2 linked regions of the Bombyx mori genome follow. Each later gene encodes a partner of the first gene's protein in a complex. Links are inferred from orthologs where the notes say so. Each region holds a gene or a part of one and is shown in the gene's direction. Other genes may lie near its edges. The genes, in order: telomerase Cajal body protein 1 homolog and H/ACA ribonucleoprotein complex subunit 4.

Region 1 (10,440 bases):
TCTGTTGGTACCCATTCATGAACAGCACAAATCCCCCTTCCTGTTGGTGAGTGAGATTTAAAACTCAATATTTGGTCTACAATGGAATTGATGTAAATATAAAATATCGTTACTTAAATATCAACCAATCTAAAAATTAAAAAAATGCTCAGTGCCTTATGACAAAGGTGTACAACCAATGTGTTTTACCAGTGATGACGTACGGTTCTGAGATATGGTGTTTCACAAGGGAACTTTTTAAGAAGCTTAGTGTCACACAGCAACCTATAGAGAGGGCTATGTTTGGTATTTCTTTATGAGATCGAATCAGAAATGAGGAGATCCATAGAAGAGCCAAACTTGTTACATAGCCCTAGGATTAGCAAGCTGAAGCGGCAGTGGGAATGCCATATAGTACGAAGATTGACAGCCGATGGGGCAGAAAAATCCTTAAATGGAGACCACGTACTGTCAAGTGCAGTGTGCCGTGTACCAGATGGGCTGATGACATAGTGGACATCAGTAGGAGAGGCCTATGTTCAGCAGTGGACAGGCTGAGATTATGATAAAATATCAATTTTAGTTTGTCAGTAAACATAATTTCTCTTCCTTTAAAATAAGGAGCTGAAATAGATTTCTTAAGAAATGCCTAACTTTCATGTAACTCAATAATTTTATTGACAGCTGGTTAACAACAAAACAAAATTCTCCCATACAAATGTGGGATGCATTTGATGGATCACTCAGATGTTCATACAGAGGATTCAATGCAGTAGATGAAATGGAACCAGCTTTATCAGTTAGCTTTACCTCAGATGGTAGAAAAATCATTGCTGGCTATAAGAAGCATTTAAGAATTTTTGATGTTGAGCGGTAATTCTTCATTATCAAATTTATCTTAAAACTTTAATTTCATGCTCAGTGTGGGTATTTAAGCAAAGCTTAGACTTGCTAATAACTACTTTATATCAAGGCAGGAAGCTTTTATCGTATCTATACTAATATAAAGAGAATTTGTTGTATGGAAGTAAAATCTTTTAATATACTCATTAAGTTAGTAATGTGCTCAAGATAGACAATTTTTTTATTTCTTTGATTGGTATACAACTAGGTTTTAAGTGATTACTAGAGCTCATAGACTTCAACAACATAATTGTTGCAATCCTGCCTGAGTTCTAGGTCTATTTTATTTGCTTGTATATTAATCAGTAAATTTTTTAGGCCTGGCAGAGAATTTACTGAGCAAAAGATTTCTAGTTCAGCATCTAGCATTTCAACACAAAATAACTTAGTTGCTGTTGGTTCTTGGAATACAACAATAACTTTGTATAATGAATCAGAAATTGGTACTAAGAAAATTGGGGACATGTATGGACATGGAGGTAAATAGCACTGAATAATTGGTGTAACGTTTGTTACATATTGTTATATATATACCCAATACCTATATATACCTAATCCAGCCATAAGTTCTGTTTCAAATGAAAATGTTTTTTTTTTAATGAAGTAAAAAGAAATGAAGTCAGCAAAAAATAAAGAAAAATATTCTACTTGAAATGGCCACCTTTGGCTTTTATACAGGCCTTTAATCTGTTTGGCCATGAAACTATGAATTTGCGCACTGTTTCCAAGGGAAATTTCACTGCTTGCTCCAAAGGTTTTTTAAGACTCAATGTCGCTGTATCGCTTAGAGCAGGCCATGTTCTCTAAAACTGACCATAATTTCAAGTCTAATGGTTGAGGTCTGGGCTCGGTGAGGCTGGACTTCAGCTCTTACAAAGTCTGGAACATTGGTTTCAAGCCAGGCTTGGGTAGTTCCTGCCTTGTGACCAGGTGCAGAGACATGCGGGCCAGTCCACAGTATATTTTTAAAAAGTGTATTGCTGAGAGGTTTTACAGCATAATCCAAGACATGGATACATGGACAATGATACACATTGACTGAAGTTTTCACTTTCTTTTTCACAAAAATATAGCTTGTGATTCCTTGATAAGACACGCCCCACCAAACCATCACTGATGCAGGATGATGACCACTTTGTACCTTTCCTACCATTTCAGCAGCTTCTTTAGAACTGTGAGTGTACACTTTATCATTTTGTTTATTGCAGTGTTCTTCAATAGTGAAATTTTTTTCATCAGTAAAGAGAATATTTCTGTGCCTTTCACCTGCATATCGCATCAAAAGGCATTTTCATTTATCCAATCACTTTAATTATAAAGATTGATTTAGGGTATATCCTGCGAGCTTCAGGTCTTGTTTTATAATACGCGACAGAGTCCTATCGGGAATCTTCATTTCTCGCTATAAGATATTTTGCTGCCTAATTCGACGGATTCTGGCTTTAACAGCATTAAGCCTTTGTAGTTGTAACAGGACGCGGCTGCACCGATCTTTTCTGGTCTTCGACAGACGAAGTGTTGTTTTATCTGTTGATAGTTCGATGTACCAACATAATGGCTGATACCTAGCATTTGAAGTGTCTGGAATATGACCGACGGCTCAATACCCACTTTGCGCAAGGCGATCACTGCAATCCTATTTTCCTTAACACCACATTCCTTTGTCATTTGATAATGAACACGAAAAAATATCTGAAATGGCGCAAAATCGAAAGAAGTTTTTAAAATAATATACATGTTCCAAATACAAAATAATTAAAAAGTTGAAAAAAAAGAAAAGTTTTTATGTAACAGTATTTATGGCCAGACTAAGTTATATAATAATATATAGCACAACAAGTATATATTTTTATCAGAAACCTTAAATCCTTTAAGTGCATTCATAATCATTTAGCATATTCATGAATATTCATTTGGCTTTGCGAAATGTTTTGATTTTTTCTATTGCTTCAGGTGGAGTAACGCACATGAAATTCATTCCTGGTACTTTGAAGCTTGTTTCTGGTGCAAGAAAAGATCACAGACTGTTTGTTTGGGACATACGGTATTATAGGAAACCACTAAACATTCTGAGTAGAGTTGTAAATACGAACCAACGAATTTATTTTGATATATCACCTTGTGGAAAATATTTGGTATCGGGTGGTACAGATGGAGTGGTAAAAGTTTGGTCACTTGATCATATAGATTGGCATTCTAGTTTAGATCCAGTTAATAATACAACTGATGATGTTACTTATAAGGTATTATTTTTAATTATATTAATAGCTTGTGTGCTTTATTTTAAAAGCTTTTATTGAAAAAGAGTAATTGAATAAATAGTTTAATTTTGAAGCCTGCATGACATCACAATTGTACAGCTACTGGATGAGATTCTATTTTACTATTTAATGAATATATTGCTTACATGGTAATTAATTTGACGGCTTAAACTCTATTTTTGACTTGACTTTTTCATTTTCAGTTTCCTTTATACAAAGATTGCTGCAATAGCATATCAATTCATCCATATAGACCCATATTGGCTACCGGATCTGGTCAATATCATTTCACAGACCCGATAAAATCTTTGAGTGAGAAAACGAATAATGAAGCCGTAGATTCTAGTTCTGATGATTCTATTAACCAGTATGATATACGATACTCTAGTCACAGTGAAAATTGTTTGACGTTCTGGTGGACTGGGGATGTTATAGAATTAAATAAAAACCTACGTCGTTGTGTTTAAGCAGATGAATCTTTATGTATTTCAATTTATACATTTGTAGTTGATGTTGTGTGAAAAAATGAATGTGATAGATGAGTTTCCACTTTAAAAAAATTTACATGACTTATGTTGACTCTGACCTTCAAGCCTTCTCTTTTCTTATGTTGGCTGGCAATCAAACTGAAAGTGTCAAAAATCTTTGTGATTTTTTTTGGTTCAATAGTATTTATCGAGTAGTCTGATATGTAGATATGAAGAATATTTTTTATATTGTCTACCCTATTTAAATACCCCCTATTTACAAGTATAGTTAAAGTGAAAGGTTTTCAACTATAAAGTTGAAAATAACGAAGTTTGGGGTTCCCGGTCTACTTATTATCATTTAACATTTTACTGGTGATAGGACCTCTTGTGAGTCCGCACGGGTAGGTACCACCACCCTGCCTATTTCTGCCGTGAAGCGGTAATCAGTTTCGGTTTGAAGGGTGGGGCAGCCGTAACTATACTGAGACCTTAGAACTTATATCTCAAGGTGGGTGGCGCATTTACGTTGTAGATGTCTATGGGATCCAGTAACCACTTAACACAAGGTGTGCTGTGAGCTCGTCCACCCATTTGAGCAATAAAAATAAAATAAAACATTCCGTTTATGACCTACATACAATAATTTTATGTTGATAAACACGTTAGTTCGTTACTTAACAGTATCAAACAATCGAATAGTGGACTTTTCCCAAGGCTAATTCGGTTTCCGGCAGTAACAAGTAGATCGATAACATGTCATTGTCGAAAGCAAAGACGATTATGAAAATTTGCGCAAACGTTTATTTTTTAAATCACAACTACCAAAATTTTGTTTAGTTATGATATATGTATGTAAATACTTATAAATTGAGACTAGCCCTTGCATAAAGTCCGCTTAGAAATGTGCGAAAAATTGGCAATCTATTGGCCTATCTCAACCGCAAAACACGTTTTGGATTAAAGGGTAAAATTTAATAACTTTTAGATCTTGTAATGATAAATATTCGAGCAGATTTTGATAAAAATGTTTGGTAAGTTATACGCGGTGTAAAATGTAACTACCCTCGAAGCTGCAACAAAGGTGCTATGCAAATCATTAGCGAAAATCGGGAGACGAAATTGATTTCGGGAATGATTCGCTTCCATTGATAGATGGAAAAATGTGTTGAGAGTGAAATGATCGGACTGAATTTTAAATTTTGACTTTTGAGTCACAATTGCGAATTGCATAAATTTAATTTAAGCCCACGGTATTCCGTTTTCGGGCAAAAATACTTAAACATTCCTTCAAAAATAGAATTTTGTATTGATAAATGTTCGACTGACTTAGAATTATTATCCCATTTTTCTAAAAAAAAGGGCTTAGGAACGGAATGTTCGTGAAAATTGAGTGCCAATTTTAATCTATTGTACTTTTCTATACATATAAGTACTGTTATCACTAATGTTAAGGAAGAAAGAGGGGAGTGACGACAAAAAACGTGTAATGAATTTAAAAGTAATTGTTTTTTGCTGGCACATAGCCGCGACTTAATGTGATCTTTAAAAGTTTATTCTTTTTATTTGCCAACTGATCGTAACAAAACACTTCAAAGATAGTATATGCTTATCAAAATTATCTAAGGCCAATTCGTTCACTCATTGGGGAAACGACTAAGTTGTCCAAAAAAAGGTGCATAGACTAAAAATAAAAATTATCTTTATGATTTTATTTAATAATACGTAGACATAAATAACATATTATCAGTTCTCTTTGTAAAGGATTTTATTTCATAATACGTACTTAGACATAAATAAAATATCAGTTCTCTTTGTAAAGTTTTGTCGACGTCATCCATGGAATATGATAACTCGATCGATTTGCTGACTGTAGTCCTCAGATCCTTGTAAAGCGGCTCAGTTTTATTGCCACGCCGAGACCTTTGGCGTCCGTAAATCTTTATTAAAATGTTTTATGACGATTGCCTTATACGCGTTCAATCAGTTTCGGATTGTTGGGTTCAATCGAAACGTAACTAATACGATATATTACTCAAATATTTAAACGTTTTGTTTGTTTGAAAGCTTATCTATTTGCAACCTCTTTTTCAGGTCTTCGTCTATATATATGTAATAATGATATTATATAGGATAGTATTAAATATGTATTTTTCACGTGATATTAAATATTACATGAAAGTGTCGACGATTACAAGATCCTCGTCGACATGCTTGATGAAATTTGATGGCCCGGTAGGCTTAGTGATTAGTGACCCTGGCGACTGTACTACAGAATTCAGGTTTGATTCCCGATCGGAATCTATCTTTGTAAAATTTATTAGGCATTTTTTGCACATATATTTTTTACATGTATAATACAGGAGAGGACGATATCCGGAGGCCGTTGATGGCCTAGAAAAATAGAAGCTAGTAGAGAGATGATGCATGTGACTAGGAGATGTATGGAAATAGCAATGCAAGGTAGAGGGGGAAGAGGTCGACCGAAGAAGACATGGATGGAGTATGTGAATGACGATATGAGAGACAGAGAGGAGGGAGTGTCAAGATGACGGCTGAGAGAAGAGAATGGAATAGAAAAATTCGCTGTGCCGACCCCACCTAGTGGGATAAGGTGGAGAAAAAGAAGAAGAAGAAGTTGATGGTTTACAAAAAATCATGTAAACTTCAGATCACGGCATCCTGGGTGACTACGATTTTTGTTTGTTTGTTGAGATTATACCAAAGTTAGGGAGAGAGGAAAAATGCGCGAAACCTCAATCGAAACAGACGAGGGGTCTGTTTCGATTGAGTTCTGTGTCAGTCGAGGTTTGGACAAGGCTCGTTGAGCGATAGGGGCTTTTAGTTGGTTCAACTCCGAGACTGCCAACCTATCGTCTAGTTAGAAGCCTAAGGATTTCCTAACGAACCAAAAAAAAAAAAAACGCTCTGAGAATTAAATTATAACTATGTGCTTACGTATTGATATAAGCTTGCGTGTTTAAATAAAAAACAAATATTGAATGTTAACGAAACCTTATTATTGCCATTCCGGTTTTGTGACCACGAATACCGAAAGAACTACTAATTATTCGCACGTTAATTGAAGATGTCGTACAACTGCGTTACTTGACTATATTTTAATTGAAATTGGTTTGAATTCGGAATCGAGGAAGTGACTATTTGATAGGAAAATTCAAGCATTTACTAAAGTGTTAATTATGGTAAATTAAAAGCTTTTCATTAAAAACTATTTATTTAACTATGTAGGTATGATATGCCTACTATATCTAAATTTTTCTGGTAGCTTTTTATTCTTATCGCGTATAGTAAAACGATATCTTTTTTAATCGATTTCAAAAAAGGAGGATGTTCTCAATTCGACGTTTTTTTTTGTTAGATACCTCATAAATTTTGACTGAGTGAATCGATTTTGATCACTCTTTTTTTATTAGAAAGCTGACGCTTCCCGTGTGGTCACATTTCAATTTAGTCCAGTTCTGATAATGGTGGTAGATGCATAACTCAATATCACGTCAACCGATTTCGATGATTATTGGTTTTTAGTGTATATATTTTTTTGGAATATCTTTTTTTTTCTATTTGATGTTGGGTTTTGTTATGTCTATTTACAATTAATTAGCATGTCTATTTACATTTATTCCAGACGGTGCTTAACAATTAAGAACCTAATGTGCAATAAAACAAGGGCACGTATGTGATATGCGTTCACGAATTTCAAAGAATATTGAAAGGTGACTTTTTGTCTTTTGATTTAAAATTTTCTACAATATAGGTTCTCTTAAGCCTTTCCCGGGTATGGTTAAAAATACGGGTATGGGATCTCGCAAACTTATATTTTTCTTCTATTTAAGTGTCCCAAAAATATCTACCTCGCGTAGACAATGTTTGACCGTTGGCACGTATGAAGATTTGACACTTTGAGTTCAAGGTGGGTCATGGGATTCGTACTGCAGTTACTGCGGGATTTGGTAGGTATTTGCTTAACACATGACACATACAAAATTAAGTAATCTTCGTCGATCTTAAAATATTTTCACGGGTGTCTATTGTGAATAAGTTCATGTTATATTCGAACATAGGTATAATAGTTGTATAATGGACTGACAGAAATAGAACTGAGACTGAAGAAGTACGAAAAATTCAGTAGCATTGAAATACCAAAAAATCTAAGAAAAAAGTAGGACTGACTGGGATCCGAAAGTGACAAAAAAACGAATGACACTTTTTACAAGTCAGCGGCTGCGAGGGTAATCCCAGTCGGCATTAATCTGGCTTACACGAGAGAAATTTGCAATTTTGTTTCCTGCCCTTTATTATCTAGCCGACCGACAAACGTCACTTCTTTGTGGATTATTGTTTGTGGACTGCGACGGATCATTTATTCTGTTAACATAATTGGCGCGTTGCCTAGGCCACGAGGGCCATAAGTTTGGGGTTTTCATTGCCTTAGAACGAAAAGGGGACAATTACTTGATAGGGAGTGGTCGGCGTCACTCACCAGCAATGCCAGGGTTACAGCTAAGCCGCTGCTCTCCGCTGAGGACTCTGGGGAGTGTAATGTGGAAATAATAGACAGTAACAACTGCAAATAGCACACGATAGTCATAGTATGGGTTCGTTCAGGTTGATTTATATTTCGTGCGTGAAAATTTGATCACAAAATGTAATGTTTTTTCAAAGTTGATATAATTAGTACACGGCGGTAGTAGGGCGGATATACTTAATACATGATTTTAAATCGTAAATTCAAAGCAATCCACGTGATTTTGGCAAATCTTTTACCCTGTTTTGGGTAAAGTTCGATTATGGTTTCTAATTAAACTACGAATCCTATAATATTATATTTACATAGAAGTCATATATAAGTGATTTTAATAGACTGTATTTTAAGTTTACCAATTTAATAATATAGTTCTTTTATATAAATATCCTTAGAAACTACGTATGTATGTTAATGCGAAGTGTAATTCTAGTCATTGTAGTTGTATTAATGTGATCTCTGAATAAATATTTGATATTGTGAACGTGAGATTTTCCTTTCAACAATGATTCAATTTCCGAATACATACCTACCTGGTCCTGTGGACTGAATGGTAAAAAGTCGCAGTCGCCCAAAACACGCCATTTAGGATCCTCCTGATCCACTATCGGTGCTTTTAGGTACCTCAGGGTGTCGAGGATGTATAATGGGTATGTCAAGCCGAAATCGAACTATAGTTTCAAAAATGCAGATCACGTTAAAAACGTCTAAGCCGTACTTAGTTTCATACAAAAACTAATATTTTAATTGTTTCAACTGGTTGATGATAACCCTGGAATTGTACAACAAAAATGCCATTAATCCGTTAATTTGGTTAAACGCGTTAGAAATAGATAGATAACAGCAGATTCGTTCAATTGATTTTAATCAATGAAAACGACAAAAAATGCTATCATATGACTAGACGCTTAAGGTTCAAAATCGCAAACCAAAATTCCAAACGCATTACGGCCATTACATATTACTAAATTTCATTTTCATTGCAAAGACAAAGAAGTTATTTGATGTGCCGAAACAGTCGGAGCGGTTAGAGGCACAGGCGAAGCCCCTTCTGGTCATAGCTGGAATACTCATAGGCTACCGTTGCCAGCGAATAAAAAAAAGCCGGTGAAGTGTTTATGTGTGTGTATATTAATCAGCTGACATAACGTGATTTTTGAATTCAGAGAAACCGCCCGTTTAGACCTGTTTCTACAAGAGAAAATCGCCGGATCCCCACCCGCGCGGCAGGTGGTATGTGGGAGTTGAACCTCACTAAAAACTCCTGCCGCTCACAACCGGCGCCCTACCTCGGACCGGGCCGGAGCCCAGTCGGGGCTATTGAAACGGCGGGACAGGGTTGACGCAGAGCACATTACATCCATCCCACCGTCCCACGGACGCCGGACCGGCGGCCGCCAGCGACACGACCACCGGTTCCCTCGTTCAGCGGGCCGAGAGTCCGCTTTGATGGCGCCGCTTTACACCTTCCCCCAGAGTGGTCGGGGGAACGCGGTCTACCATCACCCGGCTTCCTACTGCGGGTGAGCGTGCAAAGCACGCCACCCCACGTCTGGGTCTCTCCCCGCACAAAACGGGTGGGACCCCTAGCTCTTAGGGGGCCAGGTCACGGATACGTTTAGATCTGTAGCAGTTTTGGTATTTTTACATTAATTTTTACTCTTTTATACCTTGAATTAATTTACGAACATAAATCTTGGTGAGATAAAAGTCTTTCAAGTACCTAATTACGTAACCTCGAGGGCTGAATGAAAGCGATATCACAGGGATATTGAATTGATTAAATATAGAACACTATCTACCATTATCCGATTGATATGCCCTTTGTGAGGCACTCTCTATACATGTTGTGAGAACATTCGGATCATCGGTCTATCGAGAAATAACACCCACTGGGTGGAAGGTCTTCCCTTTGTCGTTACCCTTTGAAACATGTTTTTTATAACTTCAGTTTGAAAAAAAGGTTTGACGAAGTATACATATTAATGTATTAAATCGAATTTTATTTACCACTAACTTGGTTATGTTGCAAATGTATGCGGTTTTAATTTTTTGCTTAGTTGGGTGAACGAACTCACAGCTCACCTGAATTTGTAGTAGTTGAGTGATTAATGGAGTCCATAGACATCTACGAGGTAATTGCGCTACCCGCCTTGAGATATAAGTTCTAAGGTCTCAAGTATAGTTACAGCGGCTGTCCCACCCTTCAAACCGAAACGCTTTACTGCTTCATGGTAGAAATAGGCAGGGTGATGGTACCTACCCGTGCGGACTCACAAGAGGTCCT
Region 2 (9,286 bases), on another chromosome or scaffold:
AAGTGTCAAAAACTAACAAAATATTATTAAAATTATCAATAATAAACGAAAAAGTATAAAACTTCAGTCCAATAAAAATATTACATGTTTATGTTCTGCTTTAAGGTTAAAAAAATTAACAAGTATCCGAATTATTTTCTGTTTTAATGTTGGCACAACGAGCTTTGCACGTTGGCGCCATCTGACCATAATCATACGCAAACAAATCTGAAGCTAACCTCAACCGAATCGCACGTGCTATATGGCCGAGCATTGTGTTATATTTTCAAAGTTCTTTCAATAAACAGTGCCCGATTATAGGGCATTGTTTACCCAAGTGATTGCGTCGATCGCCTAAAATTAAGAGTAAGAAAAGATACGTGTTAATTCATCAAAATGACGGAGGTACTGCAGCCCGGTAACGACACACTTTCAGAGAAGAAAAAGAAAAAAAACAAGGATGGTGTTTCGTTGGGAGCTTTTCAGACAATTGGCGACTTCAAAATCGAACCTTCGGAGAGCGTGAAGAAGCTGGACACCGCTTACTGGCCTTTGTTGTTGAAAAACTTCGATCGCTTAAATGTGCGCACTAACCATTACACGCCGCTACCATTCGGCAACTCGCCTTTAAAACGCCCCATCTCTGATTACGTCAAATCTGGCTTCATCAACGTCGACAAACCGAGCAACCCCAGCTCCCACGAAGTAGTTTCATGGATAAAACGTATTTTAAAAGTCGAAAAGACTGGTCATTCGGGCACGCTCGATCCGAAAGTTACGGGTTGCCTTATCGTTTGCATAGACCGCGCCACGAGACTCGTCAAATCACAACAGAACGCTGGCAAAGAGTATGTAGCCGTTTTCAACTTGCATTCAGCCGTAGAGAATATTCAAAAAGTCACACAGGGCTTGGAGAAGCTGCGTGGAGCTCTATTCCAGAGGCCCCCGCTTATATCGGCCGTGAAGCGACAACTGCGTGTCAGGACGGTGTACGACAGTAAACTCCTGGATTTCGACCAGGACAAGAATATTGGGGTGTTCTGGGTTAGTTGCGAGGCTGGATCGTATATCCGGACGATGTGTGTGCATTTAGGTCTGATGCTTGGCGTCGGAGGTCAGATGATCGAACTCAGACGAGTACGGTCCGGCATTCAGGGCGAGAAGGAAGGCATGGTCACGATGCACGACATCCTAGATGCACAATGGTCGTATGAAAACCACAAAGACGAGACTTATCTTCGTCGAGTAATCAAACCTCTGGAAGGCCTCCTGATTGCTCACAAAAGGATATTTATCAAAGACAGCGCTGTTAATGCTGTTTGCTACGGAGCCAAAGTGCTGTTACCAGGTATTTTAAGATACGAAGACGGCATCGAAGTTGACCAAGAAATCGTAATAGTCACCACTAAAGGTGAGGCAGTAGCGTTGGCCGTTGCTCTGATGACCACGTCTACGATGGCCTCATGCGATCATGGTGTAGCCGCGAAACTCAAGCGTGTCATAATGGAACGAGACACGTACCCCAGAAAATGGGGTCTCGGACCGAAAGCCTCACAGAAAAAAATCCTCATACAACAAGGGAAACTTGACAAATATGGCAAACCAAATGAGAACACACCAAAAGAATGGTTAAACAGTTACGTCAACTATAATGTTAAGAAAGAACCGGAGAATGGTGACGGTGTCGAGGAAGGCAGCAGAAAGCGAACGGCAAGCACAGCTAACGCAGAAGATCCCGATGTCTCCATAGAGGTGAAGCAGGAAAAGAAGAAGAAGAAGAAAAAGAGAGATAGTGAAGCCCCGTAAGTACTGGTTCTTTGCATTTTGATTATTTGTAGTGGAATTCAGACAATTATCGTGTCTGGTTTCAAGGATTTGTTATTACAAACTAAGTGAGAATTTTTTTTTTATTGCTTAGATATGGTTGGCCGAGCTCACAGCCCACCTGGTGTTAAGTGGTTACTGGAGCCCATAGACATCCACAACGTAAATGCGCCATCCACCTTGAGATATAAGTTCTAAGGTCTCAATATACAACGGCTGCCCTGCCTCTCAAACCGAAATGCATTACTGCTTCACGGCAGAAATAGGCAGGGTGCTGGTACCTATCTGTGCAGACTTACAAGAGGTCCTACTACCAGTAATTACGCAAATTATAATAAATGATGTCTGGATAGTGAGAATTACTGTGGCAGTACTATGCTTTATTTTTATGTGTTTATTTATTTGGGAAACAGTCCAAAACAAACAATATGTTACAAATAGGCAAACAAACAAACTCCACACAGTGTCCACTGTCAACATCAGATATGATTGTAGAAAGAACAATGAAAAAAGAAATTTATAAAATTAAGATTACAAAAAAACAACACAATGTTCACATTCACATGATTCATCTTCTCGCATTAAAACTGTATAATCTCAAAACTTACTAATTTTACAGGAGAGTGTTAGACATGTGCTATTTTTAATATTAATCATCTTTGCAGAAAAAATGTTACATTATCTGTCTTTTAAAGTAAGATAAAATTATGTATTAATTTTGATAATAGTAGTCAAAATATAGGTAAACTAAAGAAAAAAAACGAAACTATGCTCTTTTGACAGTATTTATGAGAAAAATACTGGTGATACCGAATGATTCCGTAATTAACTCAATTTCGAATATTTTTGGAAATTGTACACTTCTAATGCGAAAAGACGATATATATTTTAAACCTTACTAATACACATTGGAGCTAATGCCTCTCAAAAATATTCCAAAATTACATTTCTATATGCTACAAGTGATAAACGAAATATGCTATAAGATCTGGATGAACTTTTTCTTTTATTGCATATGTGGGTGCTGGAAAATTCATTAAAAACTATTTCTGTCTGTCCTCAAGCTTTCCCTTCTAGTCATATGCAGAACAAATATACTTGTTTGTACGATTACAAAGCCCTAGCTTATTGTGCTTTATTTATACACATTTCTACACAATCTATTCAATTTCTTCATAATTCCAGTGCCGAAGCAGACGCCACTATGGACACATCGGAGTCACCAGAGACAGCAGAACAACCAGCAGATGATTCTGTGCGCAAAGAGAAGAAAAAGAAAAAGAAGAAAGATAAACAAGAGGTTGATGAATGAATTTGATGTTGCAAAACAAACAGTTTGTAGATTTTAAACTGAGTTACGTTTAGATTTGAAAGACAACATTGTACAGCTTATATTAAGAAATTGCGTTTTTTGAATTCGACATACATTTATCAGTGATACAATAATCGGATATATAAATGTAAAAAGTTGGAGATTTCATATTGAATTAACAGAAACAAGATTAATGAAATAAGTATTATATTCGTAGCAGAAGGTATTTTCACAAAATTAAATGTAATTAATCTAATTTGTAATTAGAGAAAAAAAATTCCCACCATCTCTTATCAATAATATGTATGGAAATTTAAAAACAAAACTGCTATGTTAAGTATATCAAATTTATTGGTAAAATGGTACCCTTTATTGGAAAAATTTTGAAAACTAAACACAAAACTGGATTATTCAAAAAGTATCTAAAGTGAACATTTAATAACAAGGCAAGTTTAGGCAACTAGGAAAAATACTGATTACCTTCAAATTTAATTAAATTTCAATATGGCTGCTTTTCACGAGGGCCTTGACCTTGTCTCTCAGCTGATTCTGACAATTTGGTTACATTGTGTGTTGTCAAGAAACTTCAATAATAGTAATTTTAATTTTGAATATTAACTTCAAATCAAACTAAACTTTATGTTTTATTTTACTGAAATAGTTTCTTTACACACTAAGAATATTAAGTGTAATTACGAAGTAACATGTACCCATAAATATGTCATAAGAAATGGACATGGTATTAATTGAGAATGGTTCTCTTTTAAGCGTAAAAAATATAAGTAAATTCAAATTTTGATGTAGTTCCGTTTGGAATGGACAAATGTCTATGGCGTTTACAATATTTTAACTTTAGCAATATGTTACATTGTGATTTAGCACGTAAACTACTTAAAAAATACTGTTTTTTGAAGTTATACTTTTTAAGGCGCGTTATGAAAAATTGATGAGAGTGAAATTTTACGATGCGCGCGCACCGTGACACAAAATTAACAGAATGAAGTTGTCCACTAAATCGCTCATTACAATACAACCGACGTAACTTGGCGAGTCTGAATATAGCCGCAGGTGAACTTTCCGAACCGTACCGAGAATTACCGAATTTATACGATGTCAAGAAAAGGGATGTCAAATATGCGTGTTTGAGGATGTTGTTTAATCGATTTTTTTCAAATTGATTAAAATTTAAATAAAAAAAAAAAAATAAATTTAATAAAAATAAAGTAAATCTTCTTACGCGCGTACATAAGTACACGCACCCTTTTATATGTCTAATCTATTGTGTCAAAGAGAGTCTTAAACATTGTCAAAGAATATATGAGTCGTCTATTATCAAAGGTGGCAATCATTTGGACAAAAATTTTTTATTGATATGTCAATACAGATTGATTTGAATATAATCGTCTCCTTCAAAGAATACGGTTCAAAACCTGCATTAAATAAAGGTTAATAGTTAACCTATTATTATCTAAGATGTCGTTCCGAAGAGTTTTGTGACTGCCAATGGAATACAAAGTCAATAATTCGTTTTTCTGATTTACCAATCATTGTCCAAAAGTCAGATTGCCGGCTTTGATAATAGTCGACTCATATATTCTAATCCACATTTAATTGAGTAGTTAGTAATCTTTGACACTATTGTTGTGTTACAGATCCAATTTGATAATCCTATGCGTGTTCTAGCCACACACAACTCGACAAAATCTTTTGTGATTTTTTTTATATGAATATGCATTACATAAATAGAGTATGCATGTATAATAATAACTCCCAACTGCTCCAGACTCTCTTTTAACCGAGCTGAAATCATTTGCCTCAAAAAAAAAGGTTAGTCATTTCCGTTCTAAAACTCCAATCCATAAAATTGCAGAACTCAATGCTCAAATTGCTAAAGTTAAAATTTTGTAATTTGTCGTCGTTTATTAAAACATTGTACATTGTTAAGATAGTTTATAAGATTAGTTCATAAGTGGTACGAATGAATAATGAGGAATGATGTTTTTTTTTTTCAAAATAAAAGTCCCTAACAACTCTTTTGTATTTTTTAGTGCTTAAACTTAGATTCAGAAACAAAAACCTCAAAATACATATAGAAAATTATTGAACGATAAAACAATTTAAATTAATAGGAAAACTGGCATCTTTCAATGCAGTTCTTGTCCATGTCTAATAACCAATTTTTGAATTATTTTGATAATTTAATACATTTTCTTGATAATCTATCCTTTATGTTGCCATAAATTCAGTCTATTTGCCAAGCAATAGATCGTAATGGCTAGGCCATGTTTGGCGATAGGATAGTCTGTGGTGTTTTTGTCCCAATAAAAAAATAACTTAACATTGCATTTATGATACGGGTGTAAATATATTTTATTATTTTTCAATAATAATAAGCCTTTCCCAACAATAAAGGCACAATGGTAGATATAATAGTTTTTATAAGTATATATTATATACATAAATCTATGCGACTGTATTTAGTTAAGATTTATAAAAATAAAATTAGATTATAGGTTATACGCGGGTTTGCGTGTAAAATCTATTTTGCAAAATTCTGATCGCTTCGCATGCCGACAATTTTTTAATTAGGTGTCGTAAGCTTAAAACTAAAATAAAATGCACTATATTTTATATAATTATATTGTTCCTTTGTTTTAGAATTAGTTTTTTTTTTAATCATTTTGAGCTGGTGAAATTTAGATTAGAATTTTAAATGTCATTGACGTATTTAAGTCTTTGATTGAAAATGCTTACCCCTCGTAGAATATGTAACACTAACTAATCTAACCATAGATGAGACATATTATTATATAGACAGCATAACACTGGTGGAAGATAAAACGTATTTACGACTTTGCGTCTCACTCAGTCGTTCGTGACCTTGGAAGTAGTAAAGAAAAGAAAGATAAGATAAATAAAATTACTTTACGGCTCATTCAAACGCCTGTGACCACAAAAACTGAAGAAAAAAACCCCGGAAATACCTAATTTAAAATGACAATAAAAAACAAGAGGTTAAACCGTGAAGTTGTATTAAAAAAAGCATTTAAGCTTAAGTTCAAGTGAAGTTCTAAAAGTCTAAATATAAATTTTAAATCCAATATAAATCCAATTATTTGAGGGTTTGAGACCTCTTGGAGTCAATAAGGTATTTAGTTTTGTCAGATGGTAAGTAAAATATCATCTTGAGTTTATATTTGTAAGTACGTAATGGAAGAAGATTTTTGTGACATTGAAATAAACTATTTTTAAGGAAAAATTTGTTTTATTCTGGGATTTGATTTGACAAGTATTTTTTAAAGATAGTTTATGACTACGCCAGTCTGTACAGACGGTATATACAGGGTGTCCCGTAAATTAACTATTTACAACTAATCTGGATATTACACCAGTCCCTCACATGCGCACGAATACGCAAACCCACAAGTGTAGGACGACATTTGCGAATGATTATGCAAAGTTTTCGCTGCATTCGTGGTTTTCCAAGCTGTGTCGTTTTTTTAACAGACATCAAAGCGCGCGAACCTCGAACCTTCGCGTAGCCTCCCACACATTCGCTTGCCCAGTTGCGCCGACGATTGCGAAGGTGACGGACGTATACTATACGCCATTTTCATAGTTCGTGACGTCTACTGTGTAGCGTATCTTCATCAAAAGAAATCCCATAAAAACAGCATGGCTGTTAATGATATCTGGTAAATAGTTAAAAACTCTTTTTCTCTTCAATGTTCTATTGACGAATTAAAAAGAAGGAGAAATTCGTGAGACATTCATAAACAAGTGTAGGAGGAAGCGCAAACGGGTTCGCAAATTGAGTATGCGAACCCATTTGCACAGCCGCTAGGTTTGCGAATGAATGTTTCACGGCCCTTCACATGCGCGCAAGCATTCGTACAATGTACGAATATTTGCGCGCATGTCAGTGGCCGGCATTAATTTTGAACAGTGATGGGCAAAAAGTAATCAGATTAATAATTACAAATTACAGTTACATTGTAATTGGTAATTGAGATACTTTGTAACAGGTTACTTAAGTAACTGATTACAGCGAGTACTTATTGTAATCAGTTATAAAGTAATTCAATTATAAGTTAACCTAATTACATTAACTGTAACAGATTACTTATGTATTTGAAACAAATTACTTATAATTACTGATAATTGATCACATAACTATTCTGTTATGTTTTGTTAGGTAACCTTACAAAAAATGTCCTACTAATAACTTTTATGACAAACGCAAAAATGAAACACATTTATATACTTTTTTTTATAATCTTTTATCATTTTACGTTATTTTTTTTAAATTAATCATTGGCAGATTAAATTAAACAACATTATTTTGCTGATTTATAATTTAAATTACTTTTAATAGGACTCTTTTTTCAAACATTTCGTCTGACAGGTGGTTGGTTGGCTTTCGGAAAATTAATGATAGTAGCGTACGAAAACAAAAAAAAGTCGAAAAGAAAAAGCAGTCGTCCCCCACTCCGCACACCTTCCTTTCTAGTTCACTATGAAGTGAGCCTTACCTATTTATTTTTATTGAAGTACATAAAACCTACCTATCTAAAAAATCGATGTATGATATATATAAATATGTGTTTTTATTACAAGTGTTATATTCAAAGTAATTACGATTTACGATGTAATTGATTACTATGTAATTAGGTTAGATTGTAATTTAGTTATATTGCAATTAAATACATTGTATTCAATTACTTTCACATCCAAAGTAATTCTAATTACAATGTAATTGATTACTATATAATCAGATTACATTGTAATTAAATTATTTTGTAGTTTAATTACTAATTAGATTAAAAAAGTAACTAGTTACGCCCATCACTGATTTTGAAGTCGTAGGGTTGTCAATAAAATATTTTTTTGTTTAGATTTTCCTATCAAATTTTGTACTGGGCCAACGAATATCAAAAGGGGAATCTATATATGTATTATTGTGTATGGCTTAAAATTATCGGATAAATAAATGAATTATTATAATTTTTAATAAAAAAAAAAACTTTGTATAATGTTATCAATTAGTAGATAATAGAAATATCAGCTTACCTCTTAGAGAAACAAGGTCAGAAACGGTGAAATTTTCTTTTAAATGATGATTATCATTAGTCGTTGCACTGCTCTATAGAGATTCCCCGCCATGAGAAACCTCATAATGGACCGCTTAAATAAACTATTGAACAGAGGCATCACTGAATCAAATTTCCCCAAACAAGCTATTGAACAGAGGCCTCACTGAATCACATGTCCCCAAACAAACTATTGAACAGAAGCATCACTGAATCAGATGTCCCCAAACAAGCTATTGAACAGAGGCCTCACTGAATCACATGTCCCCAAACAAACTATGGAACAGAAGCATCACTGAATCGCATGTCCCCAAGCAAGTTATTGGACAGAAGTATCACTGAATCACATGTCCCCAAATAAACAACCGGACAGAAGCATCACTGAATCACATGTCCCCAAACAAACTATTGAACAGAGGCATCACTGAATCACTTGTCCCCAAACAAACGATTGAACAGAAGCATCACTGAATCACTTGTCCCCAAACAAACTATTGAACAGAAGCATCACTGAATCACATGTCCCCAAACAAACTATTGAACAGAAGCATCACTGAACCATATGTCCCCAAACAAACTATTGAACAGAGGCATCACTGAATCAGATATCCCCAAACAAGCTATTGAACAGAGGCCTCACTGAATCACTTGTCCCCAAACAAACTATTGAACAGAAGCATCACTGAATCACATGTCCCCAAACAAACTATTGAACAGAGGCATCACTGAATCACATGTCCCCAAACAAACTATTGAACAGAGGCATCACTGAATCACTTGTCCCCAAACAAACTATTGAACAGAGGCATCACTGAATCAGATATCCCCAAACAAGCTATTGAACAGAGGCCTCACTGAATCACTTGTCCCCAAACAAACTATTGAACAGAAGCATCACTGAATCACATGTCCCCAAACAAACTATTGAACAGAAGCATCACTGAATCACATGTCCCCAAACAAGCTATAGGACAGAAGCATCACTGAATCGCATATCTCCAAGCAAGTTATTGGACAGAAGTATCACTGAATCACATGTCCCCAAACAAACAATTGGACAGAAGCATCACTGAATTGCATG

The links.
Region 2: telomerase Cajal body protein 1 homolog (region 1) and H/ACA ribonucleoprotein complex subunit 4 share a complex: the UniProt entries of both Homo sapiens proteins name them as parts of the telomerase holoenzyme complex. The link is inferred for Bombyx mori from reciprocal best matches to the Homo sapiens genes WRAP53 and DKC1.

The regions. Positions count from the first base shown.
Region 1 is NC_085124.1:10,452,105-10,462,544, forward strand, and holds the end of telomerase Cajal body protein 1 homolog, read left to right. Parts: coding exon 1-46; intron 47-663; coding exon 664-852; intron 853-1,200; coding exon 1,201-1,361; intron 1,362-2,835; coding exon 2,836-3,125; intron 3,126-3,346; coding exon 3,347-3,610; 3' UTR 3,611-8,637; downstream 8,638-10,440. UniProt on the Homo sapiens protein: RNA chaperone that plays a key role in telomere maintenance and RNA localization to Cajal bodies. Specifically recognizes and binds the Cajal body box (CAB box) present in both small Cajal body RNAs (scaRNAs) and telomerase RNA template component (TERC).
Region 2 is NC_085130.1:16,023,970-16,033,255, forward strand, and holds H/ACA ribonucleoprotein complex subunit 4, read left to right. Parts: upstream 1-137; 5' UTR 138-375; coding exon 376-1,781; intron 1,782-2,988; coding exon 2,989-3,115; 3' UTR 3,116-6,374; downstream 6,375-9,286.